Linked DNA regions of Oryctolagus cuniculus. The protein of the gene in region 3 purifies or fractionates together with the protein of the main gene of each other region. This does not show direct contact. Links are inferred from orthologs where the notes say so. Each region holds a gene or a part of one and is shown on either strand. Other genes may lie near its edges. The genes, in order: CETN3, FKBP5, USP49 and CETN2.

The links.
Region 1: the proteins of USP49 (region 3) and CETN3 purify together in Homo sapiens (affinity purification with mass spectrometry; 4 studies listed by BioGRID and IntAct, with this or other methods). This does not show direct contact. The link is inferred for Oryctolagus cuniculus from reciprocal best matches to the Homo sapiens genes USP49 and CETN3.
Region 2: the proteins of USP49 (region 3) and FKBP5 purify together in Homo sapiens (affinity purification with western blotting; 4 studies listed by BioGRID and IntAct, with this or other methods). This does not show direct contact. The link is inferred for Oryctolagus cuniculus from reciprocal best matches to the Homo sapiens genes USP49 and FKBP5.
Region 4: the proteins of USP49 (region 3) and CETN2 purify together in Homo sapiens (affinity purification with mass spectrometry; 3 studies listed by BioGRID and IntAct, with this or other methods). This does not show direct contact. The link is inferred for Oryctolagus cuniculus from reciprocal best matches to the Homo sapiens genes USP49 and CETN2.

The regions. Positions count from the first base shown.
Region 1 is NC_091445.1:13,136,252-13,144,189, reverse strand, and holds the start of CETN3 (centrin-3), read left to right. Parts: upstream 1-3,741; 5' UTR 3,742-3,884; coding exon 3,885-3,901; intron 3,902-6,432; coding exon 6,433-6,568; intron 6,569-7,938. UniProt on the Homo sapiens protein: Plays a fundamental role in microtubule-organizing center structure and function. As a component of the TREX-2 complex, involved in the export of mRNAs to the cytoplasm through the nuclear pores.
Region 2 is NC_091436.1:133,766,655-133,774,366, forward strand, and holds the start of FKBP5 (peptidyl-prolyl cis-trans isomerase FKBP5), read left to right. Parts: upstream 1-2,579; 5' UTR 2,580-2,744; intron 2,745-7,712. UniProt on the Homo sapiens protein: Immunophilin protein with PPIase and co-chaperone activities. Component of unligated steroid receptors heterocomplexes through interaction with heat-shock protein 90 (HSP90).
Region 3 is NC_091436.1:128,002,670-128,010,680, forward strand, and holds the start of USP49 (ubiquitin carboxyl-terminal hydrolase 49), read left to right. Parts: upstream 1-2,873; 5' UTR 2,874-2,931; intron 2,932-2,949; exon of another isoform or gene 2,950-3,129; intron 3,130-3,762; exon of another isoform or gene 3,763-4,303; intron 4,304-6,336; exon of another isoform or gene 6,337-6,417; intron 6,418-8,011. UniProt on the Homo sapiens protein: Deubiquitinase that plays a role in several cellular processes including transcriptional regulation, cell cycle progression or innate immunity.
Region 4 is NC_091453.1:131,265,716-131,273,426, forward strand, and holds CETN2 (centrin-2), read right to left. Parts: upstream 4,483-7,711; 5' UTR 4,268-4,482; coding exon 4,262-4,267; exon of another isoform or gene 3,905-4,261; intron 3,810-3,904; coding exon 3,651-3,809; intron 3,341-3,650; coding exon 3,212-3,340; intron 2,552-3,211; coding exon 2,414-2,551; intron 1,974-2,413; coding exon 1,884-1,973; 3' UTR 1,364-1,883; downstream 1-1,363. UniProt on the Homo sapiens protein: Plays a fundamental role in microtubule organizing center structure and function. Required for centriole duplication and correct spindle formation. Has a role in regulating cytokinesis and genome stability via cooperation with CALM1 and CCP110.

The DNA.
Region 1 (7,938 bases), on a different chromosome or scaffold from region 3:
CTCCGCATGCGCCTTAAGCAGCAGGAAACTTGGCCCGCCCAACCAACCGTGGGGACACCAGAGCTCGGCCATTCCTGCCCAACGCAGAACCCTTGTGAGGGGCGCTTTTAAAAACTGAGGATTTCTGTCTGCATTAAGGCCTTGTCACCACCACTCTGCGCTCTGAGGTCTCCAGGTCCAATCCGCCTTCCTTCTGCTTGGTACTGAAGCTGGAAGACCCCCGCTCCCTCCTGCTGGCCACACCTCTCTCCCTCACAGGTGCTTCCTGGCCTGTCCCACGATGATAATCCTGTTATCCAGACCTCGGAGGACCAGAAGGGACACAGCTGGCGGTCATGTAATACCAGCTCAAAAGTCACTTTCTCAGAGACCTTCTCAAACCTCCACTATTTAAGCTCTGGTCACCCCTGTTGCACGTTCCTGTCTCAATTTCTTTGTAGAATTTGACATTGTACCCTTTACATTTTTAATTTTTTTTCCCCGAATAGACTTTTATAAAGTAGCTTACAGGTATCTTTTTTTTTTTTTTTTTTTGATAGGCAGAGTTAGACAGTGAGAGAGAGACACAGAGAAAGGTCTTCCTTTCCATTGGTTCACCCCCCATATAGCCGCTATGGCCAGTGTACTGCGCTGATCTGAAGCCAGGAGCCAGGTGCTTCTTCCTGGTCTCCCATTGGGGTGCAGGGCCCAAGGACTTGGGCCATCCTCCACTGCCTTCCTGGGCCACAGCAGAGAGCAACCGGGACAGAATTCGGTGCCCCAACCGGGACTAGAACCCCGGGGTACTGGTGCTGTAGGTGGAGGATTAGCCTAGTGAGCTGCGGCGCCAGCCATATAGTGAACCTTTAAGTTAAATATATTTTGATTCAAAATATGAAAGTCTCACTTTAATTTCCAAGTGGACTGAGTGTTGTCCAATAGAATTTCTTTAATTTTGCATTAACAGAATTCGTGAACAAGGTATACTAAATTTAGTACAGAAGGACAGTAGCCACCTTCTCCTCTTTTCATTTCGACTGTGAAAACACAGGGACCGCAGTCAGTTCACCTTTCCTATACCATTTCTGAATTTGCTAAAGATATACTATAGCAAAGGAAGAGTGCTGAAAGATAGGTAGTATGAGAAATGGTGGTGGTTGGGGTCAGTGCCAGTTCTAGTCCCAGCTGCTCCTCTTCCTTTACCCGTTACGCCACAGCACCTGCCTCCACTCATGTTCTTTAAAAATAAATTTTCTATTTTACTTTTAAAAACATTGGGCTGTATAACTGTGCTGAGACAATACATTTGTCTTGCTTTTTTTTTTTGTTTCCTGTTTTTAAAAAATATATTGTATTAACTATGTCTTAGGTTGAGTTCTTTAAGGAAGTGACTGTGAGATCTGCATAACTGGGGTTTACTGGGGCAGCGTCTCAGAAACAAGACCTGTGGGGACTGACAGAGGCAGAACTGGGCAGAGGGAACAGGGGCGCTGTGATGCAGTCAAAGCAGAGGCCTCAGCCAGCTCTACAGGGCGCCATGATGTTGGAGAAGCCCTTCCCCTCAGAGTTCACCTGGATTGAGGCCAGGAAGCCAGGCTCTTCCCTTTCATATTGGCCTGTCTTTGGATAAATTCTGCCTCCAGGGAGACTTTGTAATCTGGCTGAAGGCACCTACTTTTGGGAAAGGGCAATTTACCAGGAGGAACTGAGCTGGGTGTTTTCAGCTGCCCAAATTTCTGGAAGCTGGGGGAATAGGTTCTTTGGTTCTGAAGACAGGAAGGCGGGTGGGCTATAGCACTGACTACAGCCTGATAATGCATTATTTTAGTTTATGTCATTTTAAAGCCATGGTATTCTTACTAACCTTTATTTTTAAAAAGAATTTCTAGTTACATTAGTTTTTCTTTTACAGTGAAGAAATATTTCTTTATCAACTCACTGAACATATTTAAGTTCTCTTTATCCATTTCTGTCTATTGGTTGGAATCCATTCAGCTTTTCTTCCCTCTAGGCCTACTCCATCAATTTATTTTAAATCTCTCATTTTTCTTTTTTCATTGATTTAGGAGGTGTATTAATTTTCTATCATTGCTATAACTAATTACTATAATTTTAGTGCCTTAAAACAACACTTGCATACTATGTTTTTTTTTTTTTTTTTTTTTTTAAGATTTCTTTTATTTATTTGAAGACAGAGTTACAGAGAGAGGTAGAGACAGAAAGAAGGGTCTTCCATCCGATGGTTCATTCCCCAGATGACCTCAACAGCCGAAGCTGTGCTGATCCGAAGCCAGGAGCCAGGATCTTCTTCCGGTCTCCCATGTGGGTGCAGGGGCCCAAGGATTTGGGCCATCTTCTACTGCTTTCCCAGGCCGTAGCAGAGAGCTGGACTGGGAGAGGGGCAGCCGGGACTTCAACCGGTGCCCATATGGGATGTCGGCGCTTCAGGCCAAGGCTTTAACCCACTTCACCACAGTGCTGCCCCCCCGCCCCATTTCCTTTCTAGCTGTTGGCCAGAGGTCATCTCAACTTTTAGAAGCAGTCCATATCTGATTCTATAGATTTCCTGTGCAAATTATTTCTGTGAAATCCATTTTGCTATTATTATATCTTATAATCATTGTTCTCTCAAATGTGATGATCAGCTACTTACTGAATTCTTTTTATCAATTCCAATAGCTTCTTTGGTATTCTTGGATTTTCCAGGTGTTATATAATTCATACACAATGTTAATTTCATGTGGCACTTCTTCCCCTTGTTTTATTGCATCATTCATGAGAATTTCAAGGATAATATTGATAACCATTTTAATGGTTTCTGTGGCAGACTTGCTAATCCCATTTTATGTTTAGTAACAGATGGTATGACCTCATGTTTTATCAGGGAACATGGCATCCAAACTAGAGAGCTCTTCTCAGCCTCCCTTACAGCAAGCAAGTAGTGGCCATGTCACTAGTTTCCACGGCTTAAATGTGAAGAGAAGTGATGCGTGTGACTTCCCTATCATTCCCTTAACAGGGTATGGCACTGACGACATTTGACCTTAACAAGTAAAAACACATTTTCCCAAATTACTTGTCCACAGTGTCATTCTCTATGAAATGACCATAAGCATCTCACAAAACTCTAGTGTTCCGGGGATCAAGGTTGAGAAACCCTAATGTTCCATTCTAAGTGTGTTATTCAGCATGGTAAAAAAAAAAAAAAAAAAAAAAAAAAAAGCACTGTCCATACCTGCTTTATTAATATGTATCTTAGAATGAGTAAGGGATATTTTGTCCTTGAGATCATCTCGGTTATCTAGCATTATGATTATTTAATAGATTTATATGTTGAATTCTTCATAAACACACTCTATTTAATGATAGCGAACTGTGTCGTTAAGAGGACACCAAACGTTTTGCTAACATCTAGGACCCAAAGGAACATCAACTGCAGCCAGCCACTGGGGACACAATGAATGACGTGCATAAACTCGGTCGCAAGTGAGCCTGCGTAGGATGCTGAGGGTTGGGTTGGCCGCAAAAATTAAGCTCACGTCTCTGAGAGCACCTGCACCGGTCTCCTCCCCGCCATTCCCTACCTGGGAGCTGTCCACACGCCGGCCCGCAAAGGATTCGGGGAAAAAGCAGCTGGCCAATCTAAGGGGCCGGAGGGCACGGGAGAGGCGGGCACAAACGCTCCTTTGACTGACGCTAAAGCCATCCAATGAAAATAGGGCGTAGTGCCGAGCGGGGCACAACCTTAGCGGGTTTCGACCAATCCCGCTCAGAAGTGTCTGTCTTCTGGGCGGGGCTGGTGGTGGCAGCGGCCGTTCGCGTCTGTTGAACGGCTTGTGGGAGTCCTGCTGCTTCGGGCCAGGGCATAAAGTCTCTGAGAGGAACGTGTCTGTCCGGGGAGGAAAATGAGTTTAGCTCTGAGGTCGGTAGTCGTGAGGCGGCCGCGCTCCCCACGCCGCGGAGCGGGCCCCGGGCGTGCTCGCGTGCGTGTGTGGGTGTGGAAGGGAGGCCGTTGGGGCCGAGGTGAGGAGGGGGCTCGCCGGCCTGCCAGCCCCCAGCCCCCCGGGAGTGCAGAGCCCTGCAGGTGACCGGCCCGGCGCTCGCTGCCGAGGTGGTCGCCTGTGGCCGCGCACGGGGCTTTCGGCCTAGGGGGGTGGGCCGCGGGCGTGCGGTGCTGCGACCCCGCCCACCTGGCCCCCGCACCGCTGCCCACGGAGTCGCTCGCCCGTGTGCCCCCGGCCCCGCCGAATCGGAGACCCGCCCGGAGTCGGTGTCTTCTGTCCCGACCCTAGCCCTCGGTCTGTGCCCCACCCCACCCCCCGTGTCAGATAGCCTTGAAGGCAGGTGCTCAGAGACTGTGTTCCGCCACGGGTGGCCCTGGCTGCGGTCAGGTGTGGGCGGGGTCCGGACTTGCCCGCGGGCAGTCCGGGCAGGGGAATGGCTGACCCCGGCTGTGCCCAGGTGTGTGTCCACTCGGGTCTCTTGGGGAAGGTCTTCCTCAGCTCTGACGTACTGCACCTGCTGTCATTTGGTAGCCATCCCTATTGCCTTTTTTTCCCCCTTAAGATTTCAGAAACCAAAATAAGTTTTTTGTTTGTTTGTTTTTTTTTTTTTTTTAAAGATTTATTTATTTGAAAGGCAGAGTGAGTGACAGAAAGAGACAGGGAAAGAGATCTTGGATCCGCTGGTTCAGTCCTCAAAGGGCGTCCATGGTTGGGGTTGGCACAGGGGGGAGCCAGGAGCCCTGAACATGGCAGTTCACCTGAACATGCCACCCTCCTGGGTGGCAGGGGCTCAAGCTTTGGGGCCATCTTCCGCTGCCTTCCCGGGGAGCAGCTGGGACTCAGGGTTTGTGTTCCTTGGACCTGAGAGGCAGCCCTACCTGCTGGGCCACGATGCTGCCCGCCCCCCCCCATGGCTTTCACATGCAAATAAGATGATCTGTTATGAGACAATCAACTGGTTTTACATTTAGAATTTTTAAAACGTGTTCTTACAGAATTGGTGTTCTCATTTGAAACTCTGAAGCACTTCTACATCTGTCTCAGATGGAAGACATTCCTAACTTCCAAATAATTTTGCTTTTCATTTTCTTTACTCTTTTCCAGAGTTATGAGAAGTTTGACCTATAGTTTATAAGTTAAATGAGACAAGAATTTTCACATTTTTTGGAAGTAAGCACAAATGCTACATACCACTTTTTGATCTTTTAACATTCATGATATATTTAGACTCACTGCTTTGTTGGCTGACATGTTAATATTGATGGAAGAAACTACAAACAAAGTACCTAGATGTGATCCAAAATAGTTTTGAACTTACAATGCCAAAATATAGGTTAATTGATAAATTATTTGGCACTTTTTTGTAGTAATCTTGAAAACTTAATTACAAGAAATATACTGAAGTATAATAAATATTTATGTTGATTGTCAATTATGAATTCTACTTTGATTTGGATTTTTTTCCACTTTTGCAGAATGATATAAGTGTTGATTTGGTTTTGATTGAGGTTTTTGGTCTGAAAGTAATATTTCTGACCATTCTTTTTTTTTAAGGTTTTTTATTTATTTATTTGAGAGGTAGAATTATAGACAGTGAGAAGGAGAGACAAAGATCTTCCGTCTGTTGGTTCACTCCCCAGTGGCCGCAACGGCTGGAGCTGTGCTGATCTGAAGCCAGGAGTCTGGTGCTTCTTCCTGGTCTCCCATGTGGGTACAGGGGCCCAAGGACTTGGGCCATCTTTTACTGCTTTCCCAGGCCACAGCAGAGAGCTGGATTGGAAGAGGAGCAGCTGGGACTAGAACCAGTGCCCATAAGGGATGTTCGCACCACAGGTGGAGGATTAACCTACTGCGCCATAGTGCCAGCCTCCTCTGACCATTCTTGTTTCTGAGTTGGGAGGAGGGAAGGTTTGGTTCCCCCCCCCCCCCCTTTTTTTGAAACGTATATGAAAGAGTGACAGAGACAAAGTCAGAGAAATCTTCCATCTCTGAATGGCCGCTATGGCTGAGGCTGGGCCAGGCTGAAGCTAGTAGCCAAGAACTCCATTCAGGTCTCCCATTTGGGTGATTGAACCAACCACTTGAGCCATGCCATAGTTGTCTGCCTTCCCAGGTGCATTAGCAGAGAGCTGATTGGAAGTGAAGCAGCTGGGACCTGAACTGGCACTCATGTGCGATGCCAGTGTGGCAGGTGGTGGCTTAATCCATTGCATTGTGACAGTGGCCCTTGTTCCCCATTTCTGTCAGAGTTTCGGCTTCATACTGGGAAGTGTACATTCATAGAACTGTGGACTATGGAACAAGCAGGATGTCAACTCATACAGAAAAAATACTTTATCTTTCTTCAACATATTTCCTTTTTGGAAATTTAGAAAGTTGTTGATTGTTTAGTTTGCATAAGAGAATACGATTAGAGTGGACTAATGACTTTTTTGTTTCCATTTTATAGAAGTGAGCTTGTAGTAGACAAAACAAAGAGAAAAAAAAGAAGAGAGCTCTCTGAGGAACAGAAACAAGAAATTAAAGATGCCTTTGAACTTTTTGATACAGACAAAGATGATGCAATAGATTATCATGAACTAAAGGTAAAGTATAAAGTATATATTTATCTGTTAAAGTGATTTGCATTTTTGACAGCTTTAAAATACATTTATTTTATTTATTTTATTTTTTTGACAGGCAGAGTGGACAGTGAGAGACAGAGACAGAGAGAAAGGTCTTCCTTTTCCTTTGGTTCACCCCCCAATGGCCGCTGCGGCCGGCGCACCGCGCTGATCCGATGGCAGGAGCCATTTGCTTATCCTGGTCTCCCATGGGGTGCAGGGTCCAAGGACTTGGGCCATCCTCCACTGCCCTCCTGGGCCATAGCAGAGAGCTGGACCGGAAGAGGAGCGATCAGGACTAGAACCCCGTGTGCCGGCGCCGCAGGTGGAGGATTAGCCTATTGAGCCGCGGTGCCGGCCAAAATACATTTCTATATAATTATTGTAACTGAACTGGTTTTGGAACTATGAAATCTTTTTAAGCATTCGTAGTTAGGTGCTATAGTAAAACAGAACCCCTAATGCAGTTGTATGAAAACGTTTTTGCATGGTAAAGTGAATGATATTTTAAATGTAAAAATACATTCCTATGAAAGATGGTTATTTTTCATTCACAAAAGTAATGGATTGGAAGCTATGGAATTTAAGCAGCTCTTATCATTATCATTCTTCCTGTTGGTTTTATTTAGATTTTGGTAACTCATGCTTTTTTTTTTCATACTGGGAGAGTGGGTTTTTAAGCTTTTAATTTAAACATGTTAGTAACACAATCTCAACCTACTTTCTGTAGTGCATGCATAATAAGTTGTTTGATGTTGAACACGTGCTAATGGAGAAAGATGTCAAATTCAAGGCTTAAAATTAGTTGTGGTGAGACACCAGCATCTTACATGTGTGCCAGTTGGAGTCCCAGCTAGCTGCTCTACTTCTGATTTAGCTCCTTGCTAAGACACTTGGGAAAACAGTGGAAGGTGGCCCGAGTACTTGGGACCCTGCACCTATATGGGAGACATAGATGGAATTCCAGGCTCCTGGCCTAGCCCAGCCCTGGTCACTGTGACCATCTGGGGAATGAACCCAGGATGAAAGATCTGCCTGTCCCTCTCTCTCTGTAACTCTGTCTTTCAAATATAAATTTTTTTGAAAGAAGTATTATTTATTAAAGATCTAAGGGGAAATTGGTATTTAAGGTTGTGTGGTTTTTACATTCAGCACAATTTGAAAAACAGCACTTTTGAGATTTTTAGTAGCCTTAATGGGTAGGTGAATAACTATCAATGTTCGTTTTGCGGCTTTATTTCTGGTAACTTTGTAAGGGATTTTAAAGGATTTCAGGTGGGGTAAGACATATGTAATGACAGGTTGGGATGTACGTGTGAAAGCAATACTAGGTGTGTTAAGTGCAACTTCCT
Region 2 (7,712 bases), about 5.8 Mb from region 3:
CTGATCTTAGCGAATCCTGCATGTACAAAGCTGCCTTTGAAAGGACCAGAAACCAAAGTGGAGACAGCTCCACAGCAATGCAATGGGGCTCTGTGGGCTGAGTTCAGGTCCAAGTGCTGCCCTTTTCTAGTGCCACCTGGAAACAGTTGCCAAACTTCAGTGTTCTCGAATAATGAGAACAGAAAGGCATACTGACCTTCCCCGCGTTGCCACTGTGAGAATCCAGCGACACAGGCAGGCGAACCGGCCTAGTGCATGCCAAGTGCTTTAAAAATGAGATGTGGTTTGAGCAGCAGGACAAGCAGGCCCAGGCACACTGATGGTGACAGGCACAACCAGGTACAAAATTTGCAGGACTCAGTGCAAAATGAAAATGCAAGGCCCTTGGTTAAAAAAATTACTAAGAATTTCTAGAGATCAATAACAGCATTAATCCGAGCACAGGTCCTTTCTAAATTTTGGGCCCTTGTGACACACCCATGACACCAAGCCTCAGTGACAGGCCCTGCACAGATTGGCTCCATGCATTAGGAAAGGGCTACACCACCTCCTCCCCCACCCCCCACCCACACCCGCCAGGTGTCTGCGGCCTTGAGTTCTGAAGGGGAGCGAGGTTTAGTTGAAAGGCAAGCAACATGTTTCCAAATGCAAAGGATCCTGGGCAAGCCTGGTGACCAGAGTGGTTTTCTGGGGGAGTGGGTGCAGCCACCCAGGCTGCTATCTGAACTATGGAACTGAGTGTTCCCCACAGACTCTGGCCTAGAGGGAAAAAAAAAAAGGCTGCAGCTGTATCTACAGGGCCTGTTGTTATTTGCCGCGGTGTGTTACAACATAGCCTGGCAGCCTCACCGGCCTTTCTGTCTTCCTCCTGGAAGAGCCCGGTCCCGGAGCATGTGACCTGTCCACACGGCCCTGCAGACCTGCCCACTGCTCCTCGCCCTGCCTTTGCCCACTGGGCTTTCCCAGGTCTGTGCGCTTTTTTGCTCATGCTACCCCTGCCCCCTCAACACACACATGCTCCCTGCTGGGACTCCCTTTCCTTCCCTGTCTACACCCCTCTCTTTGGCAAGAGCCAGGTTTTGTGTCACCCCTTCAATGAATCCTCTGCCTCTCCCAGGAAAAGAATCCTGGGACCCCTCCTTCCCGGGAGCCCTCCACGCTGCCCTGTGCAGATCCCATCTCAGCCCCTGCCGGGTGAAGAACACTCAGATGTTCAACGTGATGTCCCTGTGTCCTAAAGTGAAGTTCTTGGAGCTGAGGCAATTCCTCCTCACTGCTGCATAGCCAGCACATAGCATGGTGCTGAATACTTGCTGTTTTTTAAGCATGGTAGATGCCTGCTGAATCAGTGTTAATATGCAGAGTAGTTTTGATCGACACTATCTGAATTAATGCATGAATAAATGGTTTCAGTGACTCTCCCTGGCAAAAAAGAGACGCTTCTAGACACTGAGGACCAATGACTGAGATAAGGATCCTTGAGGAGGTCTCAGGGTTGACTCTATTTGCCTTTTCTACAGATATCACTTTTTATTTCTATTTATTGGAGAGGGAGGGAGGCAGGGAGAGAAAGAGAGAGCAAGCCAGTACATTCCTGGACCAGGAACTGAAAGTAGGTCTTCCAGGTGAGTGTCGAGGACCCAACCCCTTAAGCCATCATTGCTGCTGCCTCCCAAGGTCTGTATTAGCAGGAAGCTGGAATTGGGAGGGAAGCCCTTGCCAGGTATGGATCCTACCACTCCTGGGGGACCTGGTGCCTTAACCTCTCCGCCAAATGCCACCAACTTTCTACCCACCTCCAAATCTTGAAGCACCAGGCAGCATGGTGACTGGTTTATGGGAAGGGCCTTTTACAAAGACTTCAGTGTGACAGTGTGCAAAGCCAGGAGACACGGGTTCTAATCTGATTAGGGGACATCAGATTACCATAGGCAACTATCATGTCCCATAGGTCCCCAGTTTGAGACTTCAGGTTTCTGTTTCTTCAAAAATGATGGGGCTGAGCTAAAGATTCCCTAAGGCCCCCCGCCGCCCCTGCACCCCCCCCCCCGGGGGGGGACAGCGTGGGGGCCGCAGGGTTCTCACGGTCCCTGGGTATCCAAGGGAGGTGCCGCGTGCTCACCTGGTTCTTGAGGCGGGATGTTCTCGGGTCCGACCTAGCATCTCTAGCTTCCCGAGTTAGTGTCCTGGAGCTAACCTGGACTGCTAATCTAACGCAAACAGCCCGACCTGACCCCTCTCCCGCCACAGACCAGGCCCGCAGGACAGACAGACACGGTACGGCAGTGGGGTCAACGATCTTGCTTGGGCGTTAGTTTCTGTGGAGGGAAGGGCTGATGTGAGGGGGTGTCGGTCAGCTTCCTCCATCCATTTTCTCCAGCCCCCACAAAGGGCAAGGGCCAGACACGTGGGCTAGTGTGGGGGGGCGGAGATGCAAATAAACGTGGGCGGGGCCTTATTTGCATGGACCGCGCGCGGCCACCAATCCGGACACGCGGAGCGACAGCCCGCGCGCCTTTTGGGGGCGGACTGACAGCCCCGGGGCCCTATGGAAGGGGGGTCCTGCGGCCGGCGGGGGCGGGACCATGCCGGGCGCTGCCCTGGGGATTCGGGCCGGCTCGCGGGCGCTGCCAGTCTCGGACTGCGGTGTCCGGCGCGCGGGCTGCCTGCTGGGCGGGCTGAGGGGCGAGCGGCGCGCGGGCGAGGCGGAGAGAGCAGGAGCTGGCCAGGCACTGTGGAGACAGGTACCGGCGCCATGGCCGCAGGGATGAGGTGGGGCGGCCGCGGGGTCCCGAGAGCCCAATTCTCTCTTTTCAGGTTCTGCCGCTGCCCCTCACGCGGCTCCCCAGCCCGGGAGGGAGTGGCGCGAGGGGCTGCAAGTCCACGAGGTGAGCGCCCGGGGGGCTCCCAGCCCGACTGCGGGGGCCGCCGGGCCGAGGCTCCCTCCGGGGGGCCGCGGGAGCCGCTCTCCGCCCGCGCCGCGCTCCCCCTCCCGGTCGCGCCCGCTCGCCCTCACTCGGCTTTTGTTTCCCGCCCGGGGTGACAGGTCCCGGCTCCGGCTGTCGTCGGCGGACCCGGACTCGCCCGAGGCCCGGCGCTGCGGGACCCTCGGAGAAGCCGGGCGGCGCCCGAGCAGCCGCAGCCGCGGGCCGGAGCGCAACTTGGCCTTCCGGGACCGGGGCGGCCGGAGGCCTGGAGCCCGGGGCTGAGACGAGCGCCAGGACGCCGCGGGCGCGATGGAGACTCGCTCACCTGGCGGGCCCGCGGAGGGCGAGGATAACGGAGCGCCCCGGCCGCGCGCGGGGTGGCCGCCCGCTGGGTGTGGACGCGGGCGTGCCCCGCCGTCACCTGCCGCCCTGGCGCTCGTGCCTGGGAGCCGCACGGCCCCTCGGCGGGGTGCGGGCGCCGCGCCGCGCTCACAGGTGACCCGCACTCTGCGGTGCGGGCCGAGAGTTGCGGCCGGGGTGGGTCCTGGGACGCTTGCGGCTCCGTCCGCCCGCCTTGCCGGCCGTCCCGGGAGGCGTGCGCCCCGGACGGCTTGCAGAAGCCGCGTGCAGGACCCGGGCGCTGCAGGCTGCCTGCTCCGGGCGCAGCCGCCCTGTGCGGGGCGGCTTCGGCGGCGGCGGCGACGGCTCGGGCAGGTACAGCCTGGAAGGGGAGCGCGCAGAGCCCCGCTGCCCTCCGCGGGCCGCCGTGCAGTCCGTGGTTTTGGATTCGCTTTCTGGGCTGTGCTTTCCAGGGGAGTGAGGCGTAGCTCTGAATGGGAGCTTTCTTCGCTCTCTGACCTGGACTGTTTGCTTTCATTGTCTCCCCGCCTTGTTCGATGGGGGACCCGGGAAGAGTTAGGGCGGATTCGGGGTAGGGGTTTGCAGCCCCCCTGCCCCCGCGTTGGGGGTCTTTGCTTTAGAGAGTCAGAGGAGCTGCCTCTCTCGGGATGGGAGTCAAACTCCAAGGGTCGACCTGAAAAAAGGCCTTACCCTGGTGGGAGCTTTTTGTCCTGTCGTACTTTCCCTTAGCGTTTCCGTTTGTGTGTCTGCCTCCCGACCCCTGCCTAACCCGCCACACTTAGCCCTGACCAACCTGGGCATGCTATACAATTGTATTTCTAAAATTAGGTCACTTGTGAGACACACGGGATCTGGTGTGCTCGGTTTTTATGTTTTAAAGCGTCTTGTTTGATGCACATAGTGGATATGTTTGACTGCCTAGGAGCAGCGTTATTAACTTTGATTTAATTTGCTTATTTACCTTGCTAATTAGAATTATGTAACAGTTAATAAGAGGTCAGAACTCTTCAGCCAAAGTTGTGACTACTTCAGTGTAAAAAAAAAATAAAGATGATCTTTATAAATTGTTTTATTTCTCTGAAGCAATAAACTTAGATAACGGGGGTCTTTAAAAGTTCACAGAAATGCATATTATGAAGAAACTGTGTCTGGATTTCAGAATGTTTTGTACTGAAATAAATTCATCTTTTAATTCCACTTTTCCGTGAACTTTTTGAACTTCCCACGTATGTTGTAAGGGCTTTGTCTTTCCAGCATTTTGTAAAACAGGTATGTTTTTTGGAATCTTTAACTTTTTTTATTTATGGGAAATTTGAGTGCATTTCTTTTTTTTAAAACAATTGTTATCAGTTCAACATGAAAAACTTAATGAATTAGGCAACTAATTAAGTCTTTAATTTTCTGTTTACTCTTGAATTGGAAAAAGAATCCATGTTTCAGGCTTTTTAGTTTCCTGCAGGCTTCTCTACTTAGAATGGATTAGTCCGGAGAAGAACATCCTCTTTGTACACCCGCAGAAGTTATTGCTGTACAAGCTGAGCTGGCTTTCGGATGCTTAGGAAGGGTAGAAAGAACAGTGGCTTGTCCTCACATAGAATGGGTTTTGCCTTTACAAAGTTATAAAGGACTTTATGACACTTGGGCTTTCATTGTCTCTCGTTATTTATTTAATTGCTCTTTAGTGTAAAGGAATACATTTAAGTGCTGTGCTGTTAGAGCGTTGATTGTCCTTATCCTGTGATGGTGCTTTAATATGCCAAATATCGTCAAGTTATGTCTCGTAAGTTTGTTTCCACAAAAGTATATTTTAGGTACTTTAATTATGAACGTACCTTAAAATTAAAACCTATTTTAAAATTCAGTTTTTGCATATTTTAACTACTGAATTTTGTTCACTTTAATTTATCAAGCACATTTTATCTTCAAAATTAAGCACAAGCTGAATTCTCACAATAAACACTGGCAGGTTTTTTTTTTTTTTTTAAGCAGTTACCCTCAGGTACGGCTCCTTTTGATTGGGGGCTGGTGGTGCGAGTGGTAAATATTTTTAAGTGAATAACTTCACAAAAAAACAAGGACTTTAGCTAAATCCAAAAGACAGATTGAAAAACACTGTTACAAACATCAATACTGCTTTATTTAATAGAAACATGCATTTTGTACCTGCTATTAGGAATGTCCTCCATAAGCTTTTAATATACTTTTTCACAATTCCTAAGGAAGAATCTATATTGTACTTATTTTTTAAAATCACATTTTCATCTGAAACAATTTTAACACATTAAAAATGTTAGTATATTTATTTGAGAGAGAATGAGAGTTTCCGTTTGCTGGCTCACTCTCCAAATGCCCACAACGGCCTGGGCTGGGCCAGGCCGGACCAGACCTTAGTGAAGCAGGGAGCCCAGAGCTCAGTCCAGGTCTCTCATTTGGGTGTCAGAAACCCAATCACTTGAGCCAGAAATGCTGCCTCTTAGGATCTTCATTATCAGGAAGGTGCAGCCAGAAGTCAGGACTAGATACTGAACCCAGGTGCCCCTGATGTCATTTTTATTTTTTAAGATTTACTTTATTTATTTGAAAGGCAGAGTTACACACACATACACACACAATTATTTTAAGTGCTGATAATTACAACCTGTTAGTAACTTTTTTAAAAAAGATTTATTTATTTATTTATTTGAAAGTCAGAGTTACACAGAGAGAGGAGAGGCACAGAGAGAGAGGGAGGTCTTCCATCCACTGGTTCACCCCCAATTGGCCGCAATGGCCAGAGCTGCGCCGATCCAAAGCCAGGAGCCAGGAGCTTCCTCTGGGTCTCCCATGAGGGTGCAAGTCCTTGGGCCATCTTCCACTGCTTTCCCAGGCCATAGCAGAGAGCTGGATGGGAAGTGGAGCAGCCGGGTCTTGAACCACCGCCCATATGGGATGCTGGCGCTTCAGGCCCGGGTGTTAACCTACTGCCCAAAAGCGCTGGCCACAGTAACTTGTTAATACATATAGTCCTACTATAAATTCTTTTAACCTGCCTCATTTGGCTGATTTTTTACAAGGTAAATAAAAGTTTCATTTGCAAATTAAATCACACTTAGGTCACTACTGTTTTAAATCAATAATTATATGATTTATTTTTTTATTTTTTTTTATTTTTTTATTTTTTTGATAGGCAGAGTGGACAGTGAGAGAGAGAGACAGAGAGAGAAAGATCTTCCTTTGCCGTTGGTTCACCCTCCAATGGCCGCCGCTGCAGCCGGCGCACCGCGCTGATCCGATGGCAGGAGCCAGGATCCAGGTGCTTTTCCTGGTCTCCCATGGGGTGCAGGGCCCAAGAACCTGGGCCATCCTCCACTGCACTCCCTGGCCATAGCAGAGAGCTGGCCTGGAAGAGGGGCAACCGGGACAGAATCCGGCGCCCCGACCGGGACTAGAACCCGGTGTGCCGGCGCCGCAAGGTGGAGGATTAGCCTATTGAGCCACGGCGCCGGCTCAATAATTATATGATTTATATACTATCATCCACCCAGTCTCTGGTATAGGTAGGTAGAATTTTCTTTATACTTTTAAGGATGTAATTTCAGAATTTTAAAACACTATAATGTACTAAAGAACAATTCATAAGTATAAAATATTGAAAAAACAAAATTAAGTACTAATCAGTAGGCTAGAAAGTCCAGATAGTTTCAGAATTATAAAATATAGATACTTAATTGCTTACCATAAATTAATTGCAGAATTGTGTCTCACAATATGTACAACAGGGGGTAGGTATTTGACCTAGCAGTTAAGACATAAGGATCTGGGGCCAGCATTGTGGTACAGTGGGTAAAGCTGTGGGCTGCAACACCAACATCCCATTCAGGTGCAGGTTTGAGTCTCGACTGTTCCACTTCCAATCCAGCTCCCTGCTAATGCACCTGGGAAAGCAGTAGAAGATGACCCAAGTGCTTAGGTCCCTGCACCACCATGGGAGACGCAGAAGAAGCTCCTAGCTCCTGGCTCCAGCCTGGCGCAGCCCTGGCTATGGCAGCCATTTGGGGAGTGTACCAGCAGATTGAAGCTCCTGGCTTCTAGCTTCCGTCTGGCCCAGCTCCAGCCATTGTGGCCACCTGGAGAGTGAACCAGTGGATGGAAGATTTCTCTTTCTATCTCTGCCTCTCTCTGTAACTCTTTCAAATAAATAAAATAAATCTTAAAAAAAAAAAAAAAAGGCAGAGTTTACTGAGAGAAAAGGAGAGAGAGAGAGAGGTCTTCCATTCGCTGGATCACTCCCCAAATGGCCGCAATGGCTGGAGTTAGGCCAGACGGAAGCTAAGAGCCAGGAGCCCCATTCAGGTTTCCCACTGTGAGTGGCAAGAATCCAAGTACTTGGGCTGTTGCCTGCTGCATTAGCAGGAAGCTGGATCTGAAGCATGGAGTGCCAGGACT
Region 3 (8,011 bases):
ATTTTGCAAATATCCTGAATATTTGGTATTATAGAAGATGGTTGGATTCTGATATCTGCTTTTGCATTCAATCTCTTGTAATATGTTGTTTTGGCTGAAGAATATGAACAAAAGTCTGGCCTCACATCGATGTGTATTATTTGGAAAAGGGGAGGAGTGTATTGATAATCTTTTGGATAGCCTTTGATACTGCATTAAAACTCCACTGGAGATTAGTTGCAGTATGTGGAATATAAAACTATATCAAAATAAATGTCTTAATATTTTATACTTTGAATGGATCTTTTATTGATGCATGATTTTGTAGCATCGTGCAAGGGTTATTTGAACAATACTGCTTATCTCCTGAATGTTGACACATTTCATTATATATATTTTACAAATCCTGTTTGTTAATATAACTATCAGCCCTTTTTTTTTTTTTTTTTTTTTTAAGATTTTATGTATTTGAAAGACAGTTACAGAGAGAGGCAGAGACAGAGAGGTCTTGCATCTGCTGGTTTACTCCCAAATGGCCACAACAGCCAGAGTTGAGCTGATCTGAATTGAGGAGCCAGGAGCTTCTTCCAGGTCTCCCACGTGGGTGCGGGAGCCTTGGGCAATCGCAATCCTCTGCTGCTTTCCCAGGTACATTAGCAGAGAGCTGGATTGGAAGTGGAGCGACTGGGACTTGAACCAGTGACCATATGGAAGCCAGCACCACAGGCAGAGGCTTAATATTACACCACGGCTCCGGCCTGAGTCTTACCTTTGCCAAGAATGGTGTCAAGCTGAACGTTGCTGACTTTGCAGAAAATGTCTTCCAAATACTTGGTGAATAACTCTAGGTTACCCGTTAGCTGTTGTTCCAAGTAAAAATGGTGTTCCATAACGAAAGCTGTTCACTCAGCTCAGAACTCAAAAAAATTACACATGTATTTTTTCTCAAAGCAAACATCATACCCAGAAGTGCTTCATGCATACATCCATCCATTTGATCAGAGAGAGTGGTATTATTAAAAATATATACACTGGGGCTGGCACTGTGGTGTAGCAGTTAAAGCCACTGCCTGCAGTTCCAGCATCCTATACGGGCACCAGTTCGAGTTCCAACTGCTCCACTTCCGATCCAGATCTCTGCTATGGCCTGGGAAAGCAGAAGGTGCCCAGGTCCTTGGGCCCCTGCACCTGCGTGGGAAACCCAGAAGAAGCTCCGGGCTTCAGATCCAGCTCCGGATATTGTGGCCATTTGGGGAGTAAACCAGCAGATGGAAGACCTCTCTCTCTGTCTCCGCCTCTGCCTCTCTGTAACTCTGCCTTTCAAATAAATAAATAAATGTTTAAAGAAATATATAGTTTCACAGACCTTCTTAAGTGAAACATATATGTTTTTACAGTGTCAGTACGTTTTATATCATTGCCTTGATTTGTGCTAAGGTAGAAGCAACTTTACCGTTACTTTTTTACCATCATGCAAATGTCATCACAGAGAGAATAGTTTTGATCGCAGTGGCTGCCTTAAAGGGTCTCGGTTATCCTCAGGGCTCCCTTCCCAAGCCACACTTTTGAGAACCACTGATCTAAAAACATGCTCAAAGCACTGAGAATTTGTTCCCCTTGAATGACTTTTCTGCCAGCAAAATTCTTCACCGAACAAAGCACCTTGATACAATCTCTTCTTCAAGAATTTTCTCAGAGGTTGGCAAGTAGACAATTCAGGAGTTACAAAGTAAGAACTTTGAATGGTTGTAAGACAACAAAGGGAGTACTCTGAGCTCTTGAACCACAGGACAAATCCTGACCAAAGGAAACCAAACCACTCCACATTCTCCCCTTCAGGCAGACCTCTTTGCCCTCAGAAGTCCTTTCACTGTTAACTTGGCCCCAGCCGCTGCGGTTTCCTCCCACCTTTGTTGTTCTTTGACTTTGGTGCTTCCCTGTCATACTTACATATGGTAGCCTTGAGCGACTGGAGCTGATCATGTATGTTTCTTTCACTTGTCCTTTTATGTTCACTTGCCTTCCCATGTGTCTGGTTACAACAGTGTTGGTGTTACACTGTACCCCGCAATTTATGCCACAGACTGACCAGGAAGGGAGCCTTTTGTAGAAAGAGCTGCTGTGCCGTCTCCATCCCCAGTCCCCTAGAAGTCCTTAGGGACCACTCCCAACTCAGTCTGGTTTATTTCCCAAGCCCCTGATCTGCTGAACTTTTTTAGTTCACCGGCGAAGTCCTAGTCCTCAGAGGGATTTCCATAAAACAGCTGAATCCCGCCTGGGTCATCAGTGGCATAAGTCCGACACGTGCTCGCCCGCCCGGGAGCCAATAGTAACTCACAAACGCTATCTTAGGAAGCCTCCCAGTGCCGTTGGCTGATTCTTTGGGAACGACAGCGTTAAAAAAAAGAGCAAGTATTTTCCCAGAACAAAACAAAAACAGGGTAGTGAGGAAGGCGTTGCCCCTTCACAGTATGGAGAGATGTTAAAGGTGGGCCACGAAAGGTACGTGTAAAACTCCCGTACTGTACCCCGGAATGACGGGCAGGGGAAAAGGGGGCGGAGATGGTCTCGGGGGTCTGGCCCTTTAAGGAGGAGGGGCGGACATAAGACTCTGTACCTTTAAGAGTCTCTTTGTCTGGAAACCTTCTTATTTACCCTCCTGTGCTTCAACCAAACTTCGTCCCGCGATTCACAACGCCGGTCTACGCCGCCGTCCCTTACGCCAGGCTCCTGCCGGCCGCGCGTTTGTGGCTGACCCTAAACTTTGCGCCCAGGGCGCGAACCCTCCTGGAGAGTCTCGGTGCCGGGGTCTGGGCCCAGCGCTGCGCCGTTGGCGCAATGCGGGGCTCGAGGGGCGGGGCTCCGGCGGGCGGGCCAATGGGCGGGCAGGGGGCGGGACCGCGTTCGGTTGTCTCGCGCCCTGGTGACAGCTCGCGCGTGCTGATGATGGCGGTAAATAGAGGGGGGCCCGGCGAGGGGGCGGAGGCGGTGGGCAGGCAGCGGAGGGGGTAGCTCCGGGGGGTGGGGGACGGGGACGGGGACGGGGAGGCCGCGACGGCCTGGGAGCCCATTCTAACACGCGGAGGCGGGGACAGGAGGCTCCGGCACTCCAGCCCTCCCCTTTAAAGAAGCAAAATCCTCACACACCGGGTGAGGGGCGACAAAGGCGGTGCGCGCCTCGCGGGCGGGAGGAGTGGCGGCAGGGGGCGGGACCGCGGCGCCGGCGGGCCGGGGGCGCCCGGGGCGGGGGCCGGCGGGAGGCGAGGGCGGGAGTAGGGGCGTGCGGGCCCTTCGTTTTGGCGGGGTGGGCTACGATTGGGTTTGGGGTACAAGCCTTGAGGCAAGAGCGGAGGGGAGGCTTGGGTGCTTCTGAGGGGAACCGGGCTAAGAATGAGATGAGGATTAAGGGGAGAAAGGGTTAGAAGCCAGGGAGAGCAGGAGTGAGGAAAAGCCAGCCCAGGAGGCACACAGCAGGGTGGGCGTCGGGGAAGCCCGGGCAGGGTTAGGAAGATCCGGGCTGGGCGGCGGGCTCCGGGGTTAGGTGGAAGCGCGGGGGTGTATCGAGGTGAGGGGTGCTGGGGTGGGAGTTGGAAGCGAAAGACAAGGAGGGGCAGCCCCGGGTTAGCAGTAGTTGGAGTAGGGAGAGAGAGAGTGATTAAGAGCCAGACGTGACAAGGGTGTGAACTAGTGCAGAGCGAGATGAGCTGAAGGACCGGCGGTGGGCTGGGGACCGCTGGCGAGGGTCTGAGAAAGGTATGGGTTAGGAGGTGGGCAGTGGGCGTACATTCTGGAAAGTGAGGGAGGGCGAATGAGACCCTGGACTGGAACCAGGTAGGGGCAGGAGTAAGAGCCTAGTGGAAGGGCGAGAGGCTGATGAGAGATGGGGTTTTTGTAAGACAATTCCGGGACCAGAAAAGCCGACAGAGTAAAGGTGTAAGAAGTGATGGCGGTCTGGGACCAGGGTAACTGGGGAATTACGCTAATGGAAAAGCTTCCCCGGGATCCACGGTAAAAAAAAAAAACAAAAAACAAAAAACAAAAAAAAAAAACAGGTGGGGAGAGGGCTACACGCAGTCGGCGAGAGGGGCAGGGTGAGATGGGCCCCCGCGTGTAGAGGATGAGGTGGGGGAGTGAGGCGGAGAACCGGGTGAAGGGACACTGGGGGAGTCCTGATGGATGTCGAACTCGAGTAGAGCGCGCAGGGCGGGAATCGAACGTGCGTGTGGCAGGGAGAGGCTCCAGAAGGCGTGCGAGGGTCAGGGCCGGAAGGCTGGCGTGAGGGACCCAGTGTAGGGAGCCCCTGTGCAGAAGAGGAGGAACCATGGTGAGTGAAAGGGGACCTAGAGGCAGGGGTGAACGCTAAAAAGTAAGGGCGGAGGCGGGGGTGGGAGGGATGCAGGAAAGGAATTCTTTGTTGGGAACTGTGTGTTGAAACTGTGAGTCCTTTTGTCCCTAAAAGTAGGAAATTCCAGAAACCTCTTTCTCTCTTCAAGGAATCTTAGATCCGCTTCCACCTTTAATTGCTTTTGATTCGACTTTCACGTCCACTTTGAAAACATGAGACCCATTTTGATTTGATTTCGTTCCTGTGTGAATGATCAGGCATGAGCCTGGGGTGTTGAAAACCTCTGCATTTCACCAGTGTTGTCATAATAGGAGAACGGGCTGTGTTTATTTACAGGGCGCCTGTGTAGTGTGATAGTTTTGGCATTTTAGCAGCATTGTACCTGACAGGCGCTTGGGCTGAGTGCTTTATCGACAGCATTTTCATCTTCCATGGAGAACATACTGCTGTTGGGATGGAGAAAGATGAGAATCTGTTTTGTTTCGATTAATCAACCAGCTTTCTGCTGAGTTGTTTTCAGTGGCTGGAGAATATTGAAAACTCATTTTAGAGAAAGGCAAATAACCAACCAGGGAAGTTTACTGGGAGAGAGATTTAAATCAGGGCTGTGAGGGTATTGAGCTCCTAAGCTGCCTTTAGCTTTGTGTGGGACGTCTCATACCATAGTAGAATTAGCAAAATGGAATGATGAGAGGGAGAATCATGGATTGGTGGGGAATTTTAGAGTGATGGACTTATCTCCTAGGTTAAACAATGAGTTTATGAGAAATTTTTATGAAGAAAATTCCCTGTAAGATTGCAAGCCTTGTCCGAGTGGAGGCTTGGACAGCTCCACTGCCCCCTTGTTTTATGGTTGTAAATAAAGAAGGATGTATTAATTACTATTAATTTTTCTAAAAGCGTTTGGTATTTAGGACACTTGGAAATTAAAAGGAAGATAAGAAATTTGGGCAAAATTTAGGTTATTCTTACTTGGTATTTAGTTTTAGTGATTTTTATTCTGAAGCTTTTACATTTAGCTGAAAATATTACTTTGCATTTGGTGGAAACAAAGGATAGCACATAATTTACTTAGGATAAAAATGTACTGCTCTTGAATCTTATTTGGAGTATTTCATTAGTTTATATTCAGAAGCACACACATACTTTTTTTCATCAGAGTTGTGTAAATTTTACTGTTTTGTGGGTGCTTGTATACATAGCTAAGTTAGCTTTGCAGCACAGTTAGCAAAAATTGGGTTTTGATTTGTGGATATCAAACATTGGTTATTGATTTTTGTGAATAATTTAGAATCATAACTCTTTCTGGATTCAGCTGCTGACTCTGTACATGGCATAGTATTTAGTTCATGGTTTGTTTCATGGATTCTGTTAAATATGTGTTCAAGGTGACCAGATTGATTTGGAAATTTAACAGGGACTTTTAAAAAATTACTAGTTTTGCTGCTAAGTTTTAAGAGGATTAATCTGAAAATGTTAACTTTCAAGATGAAAAGTAACTTTGATATGAAACACCTGTTTCTGTGAAATGTGTATGCATATTCCCTCCTGTTGTAGATGTGTTTGGTCTGACACTAGTACTAGGTTGTATTATGCATGTATGGTACTGCCATTTTAAATAATGGAATTGTTTTTAATCTAGTATCTTTATATAAATTATTTGATAATGGAAAGGAAGAAAATATAAGGTCAACTAATATAGAATGGGTCCTGCCTTTTTTTTCCTGTATGGAACCAATATGTGCTGAACCACTGATTCTAGTTGTGAATGGTTAGTTCTCAACTGGTATTTCTAAAACCAAAAATGGATTTTTTTCATTCTGATAATACTATTTCTCAGTAAAGACTCTAATGACAAACTCAAGCTTTGTTCTCATTTATTGATCAAGTAAAATTCTACCCAATTTATCTTGTCTAAAATCTTATGTGCAAAGCAAAGGGCTTTTAGTTTATCTTTTCAGGTTTGGATGGGTAGGTTGTACGTAATTCAATATTTTTCTGGTTAATCGTAGGGTCTTTGGATGGAAAGAGATCTTGACAGAACCTCTAGTTTATCCTGCAACTTCAGTCAATATCTTACTTAAATCATCCAGGTAGATAAAAGTTTATCCTGTTTTCCTATAAATCTTCAGCAGTGTTGTGGCAGCCTTTGTAGATAATCTTTCTCAGCACTTGATGATGGTCTCTCTGGAGAGTCTGTCTTCCGTCCACTTGCAGACACATAATGCTCTATCTGTATTTCTTATCTTTCCCCATTCTCAATTTTTGAGTAAAGAAAATATCTGCTTGCTATGGTATTGGTAAGACATTAGGTCTTCATAAGCTTGATAATAATGGCTAATCCACGTGTAATGCTTGTGTTCTGTTTGAGACACTGATGAAACACTTCGTAAACTGTAAATCATTTACTCCTCACAGCAGTCCTCTGAGGAAGGTACTGTTACTATCCCTGTTTTACATGTAGTGAAATACAGCGTTCCTGAGATTAAGTGATTTGCTCAAGGTTATACTCAGACATTTCTTTAATTTTTAAATTTTTATTTATTTGATGGACAGAGAAACTGAAACAGAGAGAGATCTTCCAACAGCTGTTTCACTCCCCCAAATGCCTTCAACTGCTTGAGCTGAGCCAGGTCAAAACTAGGAGCCGAGAACTCAATCCAGGTCTTCCTTGTGGGTGGCATATGGGTGACATGTGAGTGACAGGGACCAAAATACCTTCTTGTCTCCCAGGATACGCTTTAGCTGGAAGCTGGAATTGGGGACCAGAGCTGATACTTAAAACCAGGTACTCCCACATGGGATTAAAAAAAAACACACACACACTTTTTAAAATTTGTATTTCACTTGGGGGCCGGCGCTGTGGTAGAGCAGCTAAAGCTGCCACCTGCAGTGCCGGCATCTCATATGGGCGCCAGTTCAAGTACCTGCTGCCCCACTTCCAATCCAGCTCTTTGCTATGGCCTGGGAAAGCAGTAGAAGATGGTTCAAGTCATTGGGTCCTTGCACCCACGTGGGAGACCCAGAAGAAGCTCCTGACTCCTGGCTTCATATGGGCCCAGGTCTGGCCGTTGAGCCAGCAGATGGAAGACCTCTCTCTCTGCCTCCACCTCTCTGTAACTCTGCCTTTCAGATAAATAATAAATTTTTTAAAACAAATTTGTACTTTACTTGAAAAGCAGGCACACAGAGTTCTTATTCCCACTGATTGACTCCCCAAATACCCACAATGTCCTGGAGTAGGCCAGGCCAAAGCCAGGAGTTTAGAGCCCAATTCAGTTTTCCACATGGGTGTCAGGGACCAAAGTACTTGAGTGATCACCTCTTGCTTCCTAGGATGTACATTAGCAGGAAACAGTAATTCAAAGTGAAGCCAGGGCTCAAAGCAGGTACTCTGATATGGGATGCTGCCCTCCCTAGCAGTTTTCTATTTTATTTTTTAAAATTTATTTACTCAGGCTCATTTGGCTAATCCTCCGCCTGTGGCGCTGGCACCCTGGGTTCTAGTCCCAGTTGGGGTGCCGGGTACTAGTCCTGGTTGCTCCTCTTCCAGTCCAGCTCTCTGCTGTGGCCCGGGAGTGCAGTGGAGGATGGCCCAAGTGCTTGGGCCCTGCACCCACACAGGAGACCAGGAGAAGCACCCAGCTCCTGGCTTTGGATCGTCGCCATAGCGGCCATTAGGGGAGT
Region 4 (7,711 bases), on a different chromosome or scaffold from region 3:
TTCCAACACCTCATTTTTTTAAAGATTTATTTTATTTATTTCAAAGACAGAGTTACAGAGAGAGGTAGAGACAGAAAGGTTTTCTATCCGCTGGTTCACTCCCCAGGTGGCTACAATGGCAGGAGCTGTGCTGATCCAAAGCCAGGAGCTTCTTCCAGGTCTCCCACGTGGGTGCAGGGGCCCAAGGACTTGGGCCATCTCCCACTGCTTTCCCAGGCCACAGCAGAGAGCTGGATTGGAAGTGGAGCAGCCGGGTCTCAAACCGGCACCCATATGGGATGCTGGCACTTCAGGCCAGGGCATTAACCCACTGCACCACAGCGCCATCCCCACAACACCTCATTCTTCAACATCCACCATAAAGCCAGGTCCTGAAGTTTCTATTACAGCCCAGCAATTCTGAGTCAAGCAACTCTGTTCTCTCCATTGCATCTAGAGTAACTGGCTCCAAAGTGCTGGCCAGGAGGTGCTAAAGGTCATGAAAAACCCAGGTATGAGACCAGTTTGGGTTCCTTCCCCTCAGTATTTCTCAAAAAGCAGTCCCTCTGCATGAGATATGTCTGCGCAACACAGTAAAGCCCGCACCCCTGGGTGCCTGAGGCCTCCAAGAGGCCAGGGTGTGGGGATGCTCCCCAGGTGGAGTTGGCAGTTCAAATACATACAGAATGCCCTGGTGAACTGGAATTTCAGATCAACAATGAGTAAACAACACAAAGTGCAAAAGAGATACACTTACACTAAAAAAAGTACTATTCATAAATTCAAATGTACCCAGGTGTTCTCATTCTATTAGTTAAATCAGGCAACCCTATCTCCAGGGGGCTAAGATGCCCCCAGAAGTTTAAAAGCCCTTTCCCACCCTCTCTACATGTGGATAACTGAGCATCCCATTTTCCATTCCCATTCTTGCTACCTACCTGGAGCAGAGGCTTTAATGCCATCCACCAGGGCTTCTCTTGCAGGAATCCTGTGAGAGGCCAAGAGGGCAACTGTCAGGACACTCAGCTCAACCCAACTTCAAGGGACAATGGACACTGCAAGCAATTAAACTCACCAGAGATTAGCTGCATCTGGCCTGTCACAGCAAACTGGCTCTCCTCAACAAGATTCTTTTTTCCAGACTTATACTTTGTCAAAACTCTTTGCAGGGCATCATTTAAGCTTAGGCGAAATGGAAAGTCTATGAGTTTTACAAACTCATGGATTTCCAAAGCAAGAAACAATCCATACCAGGAAATTAGCAAAGGACTATTCTGGTTTTATCCAAAAGGTTGTAAGTTTTGTATGTACCAAGCTGCCTTCAATGATACCTTAGAAGATGAACTCACAGTCAAGGATAAAGAACTCATCCTTAAACAAAAGCTCAGACTAAGAAAGGTTTTATTTTTAAGACAAAACAAATAGCATTAACATACATCCAAATGCCAATGCAAGAGTTCACTGGGTTTTATAAAATAGAAGATTACACTCTGGTATCAACTAGAAACTAGAACCACTGAAAAACGACCAGTGCTTCTGGTGACATGGGTACAACATGTGCTTGTCTAAGAAGTCGTTCAGTGTGCATCTCTGTGACATATATGACAAGAGCGAAGCAATGCAAGGCAAATGGAAGGTGGGCAATGCTTTAAGACCCTTTTCTCCGCTCCAATGTGCTCTTATTCTGCTTTGGAGAACTCAAGTAATCAGCAGGTCATTTTACAAAGAGATTGAGTATCAAAGAACACTTTAAAAGTCTGAAATAGATTAGAGGCCATAACTAAAATTATGTAGGGAGGTCAGTGCAGGAGAAAATAGTTTGTGTTCTCAAAAGCCAGATTTTACACAATGGCAGGCACTAAATCTAGTTAGGTGTGCTTGCAGTAGAAAAGACGACATGGATCTTAGTAAAGGCTGGTCTTTTTCATGATGCGCAGGAACTCTTGCTCATTGACTTCTCCATCTCCATCTCGATCAGCTTCATCAATCATTTCCTGCATGACAGTAAAGATTCAGAGAACATTAATTCATAAAATAAACAAAAAGGTGACTACATCATAGGCTTTAACATTGCTATTTGAATAGACAATTGTAGTCTACTCGATACATTATAATAACTTGGCTCTTGAAGAGTCATTGGAAAACCAAGTCATATTTTGTCATACATGTCACCTGGAAGGAAGTTCGAAGGACTTGACCAGAAGGACTCCCAAAACCTAAAACAGTAAATAAAACTGTACACACATGCATTTTTCTGGAAGCAGGGTCATAGGATTGTCAGACTATCAAAGGAAAGTTACGTTGTTAGCAAAGGGGCCAAAGAACAGTATCTTTCATTCAAAGAGGTTTTCCCACCAGGGAAAAATCAAAAGCAGAGAAGTCTCAGAGGGCTCAACGGTGGGAATTCACCGTTCCAGCCTCACACATGACAAACCTGTAGCTCCTCATCTGTCAGGTTCTCGCCCAACTCCTTGGCCACGCGTTTCAGATTTTTGAATGATATCTTTCCAGTTTCATCATCATCGAAGAGCTTGAAAGCTTTCAGAATTTCTTCTTTGGTATCTTTCTCAGACTTAACAAGTAGAACATAAAATGCATTATCAGGAAAACACCATGGTTACCCGTGTTCCATAGCCCCACCACTGCCCATTCCCCCCCCCCCCATTTACAACAATACAAGCCAAGAAGACAAAGAACAGAATTAGAGGCAGCTGCTGAGACACCTAGTGAACCTGACACTGCACATTGGCATGCTAAGCCCTGGTATTTTGCTGTGTTCTCCTGTTCAGAGTTTGCTCTAGTTCAAATGCCAAGGAGGGACTTCCAGGGGAATCAACTTCTTAGATTCATTCCCTAACCCTCCACCTTGCATTTAAAAATGAATGGTGTCTACAGTTTTTCTATTTGGGTTTATCACAGATATATCAGTTGGAAAAACAGTGAAAAATGACACTTTTGCTACTTTACAAAGGGTGAAATGACTTCATTAGTTTGTGACCTTGAAGAAAGCCAAAGAGAATTTAGGCTAATTCTCAGTCAAAAATACTATCTTTTATCAGATGAATTCTCCAATCTTTGTCAATTTTTCTCCAATTAGGTCATTTTCACATCTAGACTAGATAGATAGACTTTATCACTATTTTAAAATTATTTTTGCATTTACTCTAGATAGATAGACATTATCTATCACTATGAGTAAAAAACATGCTAATGGTTATCTCAGCTAACTTACCATTTTCTGAGTCATCACAGTCAAAAAGTCACTAAAGTTCATTTTTCCAGTGCCTTCCTTATCAATTTCACTTATCATTTTCTTGATTTCTTCTTTCTTGGGTTCAAACCCCAGGGCTCTCATTGCCACCTGTAAGGAAACAGGAATGTCTCAATATGCATATCTGAATCTAGCAGGAGCAAATATAAGTGTTGAGAATATTAAGCCAACATCTACCATAATAATGGTAAAATGACTACAGAATAAACATTGATGTAACTGACCTTTGTTGTCAATTTTATTTAGTAACACTTGGCATAATAAAAGACAGGAAAAGAGAGCACAAAAATCCCAGCCCTGTTAGTTTTTACAGGAAGGAGAGGGCAAAAGGGGTAGAGTTGTGACAGAGAAAGGGTAAGGAAGAAGCAGAGGTAGTATAGCAAGAACGTGCAGGGCTTACCTTAAGTTCTTTAACATCTATGGTCCCAGTTCCATCAGCATCAAAGAGATCAAAAGCTTCCCTGATTTCTTGTTTCTGCTCTTCAGTAAGCTCAGGCTTAGGACTCATCCTTTTCCGCTGGGAACTAGATGTTATGTTTCCCTTCTTAAAGTTAGAGGCCTGTAGAAATTATACGAACACATGAGCACACTATTATGTAATACAGTCCATAGTTACAGACACTGCTATCTCTTTTAAAACTAATTTATACCAACCAATTCCCAATTTCTGCTCAACAAGAGATAATGGGGTTTATTGGAAAGAATGAAACTTCCCGTGAAGCGCTCTCCCTCCCTTTTCTTTAGTAGTATTTGTTAGAAGCAAAGAGATCCCTTGTTCTTCGGATACATCACTCCGAGGCAGTTAGCTAAGGAAGTGACTGTAGATAACTCGAAGTGAGTACTGCCCTCCCTGAACGCGGGGATCCTGGCTCCAAAAACAACCCCTCGCGGTACTAGGCTTCCCAAGAGGTACTCTGACTTTCCGATTACTTCTGGATTTGGCCAAAGATTATTAAGTTGTTTAGATAAGTGTTCTGTCCATATCAAATAGTAAAACAATCTATTTGGCACCTTCATGCCCTCCCCAAGATGCTCAAAGCATCTCCGGAATGCCCATATTTAAATTGTAAAATACAAGTTAACAATCAGAACATAACAAAGCTCCTCCCAGGTGGGGGAAGTTTGGCAGAGAGAGGAGGCCAAGATCTGAAAGGGCCAGGATCTGAGAGGGGTTGGGCCCTCTTCTTTGCCTAGGAAGTCCCCGAGGCGGGTAGAGAAAGCCAGGGGGACCCGAGGGACGGGTAAGGGCCCGCTGTGCATGACGGGGAGGCTAGGGCGAAGCGCAGGCCCAGCGGGGTGGCTGGCGTGTCTACCCTTCCGGGAAAGAGCTCAAAGGAAGGATCAGTGCACTAAAGGTGAGCAAGAGAGTCAGTGTGGTGTGGCGGGGCCGCAGCCCTGAGAAGGACTCAGTCCCTGGGTGCAAGGCCGGACTGGGGAGCCAGCACTCACCATAGCCGACGCACTCCGCTGCCCGTTGTTACGGCAACCTACGTACACACCGACTCGGCGCCATTCCCACCGCCCCGCGCGCGCGGCCCAGCTCCCTGTTGGCTGCCGGCTCACCTCCAGCGCTCCCCATTGGTCTACGTCTGGAGTGGGTAGGGCTAACCTCACAAAGCCCGGGCCCAGGCGGGGGGCGGTGCGCTGGGAGGGTGAGACCTGCTCTCATTGGACAACATCACGCTGAGAGCTCCGACTGGCTGAGCCGACTCTAGGCCCGGCCAATCCGCTAGGTAGAAGGAGCTCGGCTGATTCTCAGCTCACACAGGCGGGGAAAAAAGGGTGGCCTTCCTAGGCTGGAGCTCGGTCCTTGTCGGCGGCGGGCTAGCTGAGATCAACCGGGGGACATTTACGGACCGAAGGGTAAGAGTCGCCACGTAGGCTTCGGAAGCCGCTTTGTATCGGCGACAGGGCAGGGCGGGCGAGCGAAGGACTAGGCGGGGCGGTCTGAGTGGCAGTGGTTTTCTGGTCTGGCCTAAGACTGAGTTAGGAACAAGGGCATCAGGAAGATCCCAGGACCTTCGTGTGGGAGCTGGGACTGTACTTACTCACAGGATAGCTGAGACCCTGACAGGGGAAGGGGCGTGCTGAGTGTCGTCGCAGAGGGTTTGACATCTGGCACGTAGACTGGTTGTTTGAGAGAATACAGCAGGTTCCAGGAGCAGCCCGGTACAGTGAGTCGGAGACCTTGACAATGGGTGTTGAACGACGTGAAGGAGGTTCCTCCTCATGCTTGTCTCAAAATACACTCTTTTTGACACAGACTCTCAAGGCAGTCAGGGAGGAGAACTCCAGGCCGAGACACCCTTGTGAGCAAAGTCACGGGAATTGTGGAAGAAGATCTCCAGGGGAGCATGAGTAATGGTAAGGGCTGACTTGAAACTGCAAAAGGACTGGAGTCTGCCCTCCTTAGACAGCTCCACGGGTCTCAGCTGCACCTACTCATGCGGCATTGAGGCGGTTATCTGGGGAGGCAGAGGACAGAGCAGAGGTTTCTCTGGCTTCAAAAGGCCTGAGGCATCCTAGCACATCTTAAGAGGAGTGTCTACTCTTTGCCCTCTTCCTCTTTACAGCAGTGAACTGGGTTCAAAACTTTGTGTTCATGTTTAACTTTCCCTGCCCTCTCCCCTGTATCTAGTCTCTTAAGTTCTATCAGTTCTGCCCATTAAATGCCATTTCTTTTCTCTTTTCCACCTGTATTCCTTTCTCAATTCTAGCATTCATCATCCACCTCCCAGCCAGTATGAGCCAGAGTTCCCACCATGGTCTGCTAACCTTGGTTCAACCTCCAAACTGCTCTCCTCCTCTGCCCTGGCTCACTGCGGTCCCCTTCTCTCCCCAGGACACTGGCTTCTTTGTTGGGCCTCAAATGCCAGGCACATTCCTGCGTTGAACTTTTATACCTACTTTATCTTCTTCCTGCTGGTCTTGTATCATTCACCCTTCCATGTCTTTGCTCAGCTTTCTTAGGCTACTCAAAGCACCTTGGTTAGTACTATACTCCCAGTATACATCTTCCCCATAGTACTTGTCGCTCTGTACTTATTTACTTCGTTCTTTGTTGCCCGTTCTCTAGAGAGCAGGCTTTCCAAGGGCACACTTCATTGTTTTGTTCACTGCTGGTGCTTCAGTGCCTGCATCAGACATGGAGTACACTGTAGGCAGTTTGGATGACTGATGAGAAGGCCCCTGCACCCCCAGGTTAAAAGCTGCCATGAATAGCTCTAGTCGGATCTACCCCTGCTCTTAAATCTTCAGAGGCTACTCATAACTGCAGAGTAAAACTCAGAACCTTCAGCTGGCCATATGAATCTCCTGCCCAGCTCAGCCCCTGCTAACCTTTTTAGCTTCATGTCGTTTCACACCATGCTTCCCAGTCAGTCTGTGGGGTGGCAATTTAACAAAGTAGAAGGGACAAACACAAGCTCTGTCCAGGCTGTGTGACCTTCGATGAGTCACTTGACCTCTCTGAGCCTCAATTTTTCATCTGTTGAATGAAATCAGAACTGTCTAACTGGATGCTTTTTGGATCTTAATGAGATAATGTTCTCCTGCATAAAAGGGTCTGACATTTAGTAGGTCTGTAGGCAATGTGAGTTCTTTTCTCAGATTTGCCCCCTACCTAGCATGCCTGAAGCCTTCAGCTTAGCTAGAATCCCTTGTCCACACTGCAGCCAAAACAACCTTTCTGATCATAGTACTTACCCCTGCCTACCACTTCCAGTGGCACATGGTCACTGCATGTTCTGAACTTTGCTCCAAATCTTGCATCACACTCAATGTGACACACTTTGTTACAGTTAGCAGAGCATGCTGGCTTGTGCCATCACCTTGCCCTTCCCACCCCTGGCTATGGAATGTCTAGGTTGCCTACACCCTCTTTAGCTCCTGGAAGGCCTCCGGTACTCACCTGACTCAGCAGTTACAGAGTTGCATAAGTGAGTCTCCCTGTCTCCTGCCCTGCACAGTGAGTCTCCGTAAGTGTAGGCACTCCTCTCTTCCAGGCAGGGGCCCCCAACCTTAGTGGGCCAAGATGGGAGTGAGAAAAAGCATCATGCAGTGTGCTCAGTGTTAGGGTGAGAGCACAAGCAGGCGCTGAGGAAGCAGCTCACCTCTCCTGGGGAGGGCGAGAAGGCTTCACTGACAGGAAGGTGGAGCTAGGCCATGAAGGAAGAGGGGGCCAGAAGGTATTCCAGGCAGAGGGAACAGCATATGCTAAGCTCACAGGCCTGCTGATGAGCTTCCAAGTGGCCCGCCCCAAAGTCAAAGCTAGGGACTTTTAAAGTAACCAAACAAGCACATACAAACCACTGACCAAAACACAGGGACGTGGCAAGTGTGTGAAAGGATGAGGTTGAGCTGGATTGCTCCAGCGTAGTAAGGGCTAACCTAAGACCTCAATGATAATAACCTGTGTGTTTTTCTCCCCCATATCGCATCTGTGAATTCTCAATGGGAGGC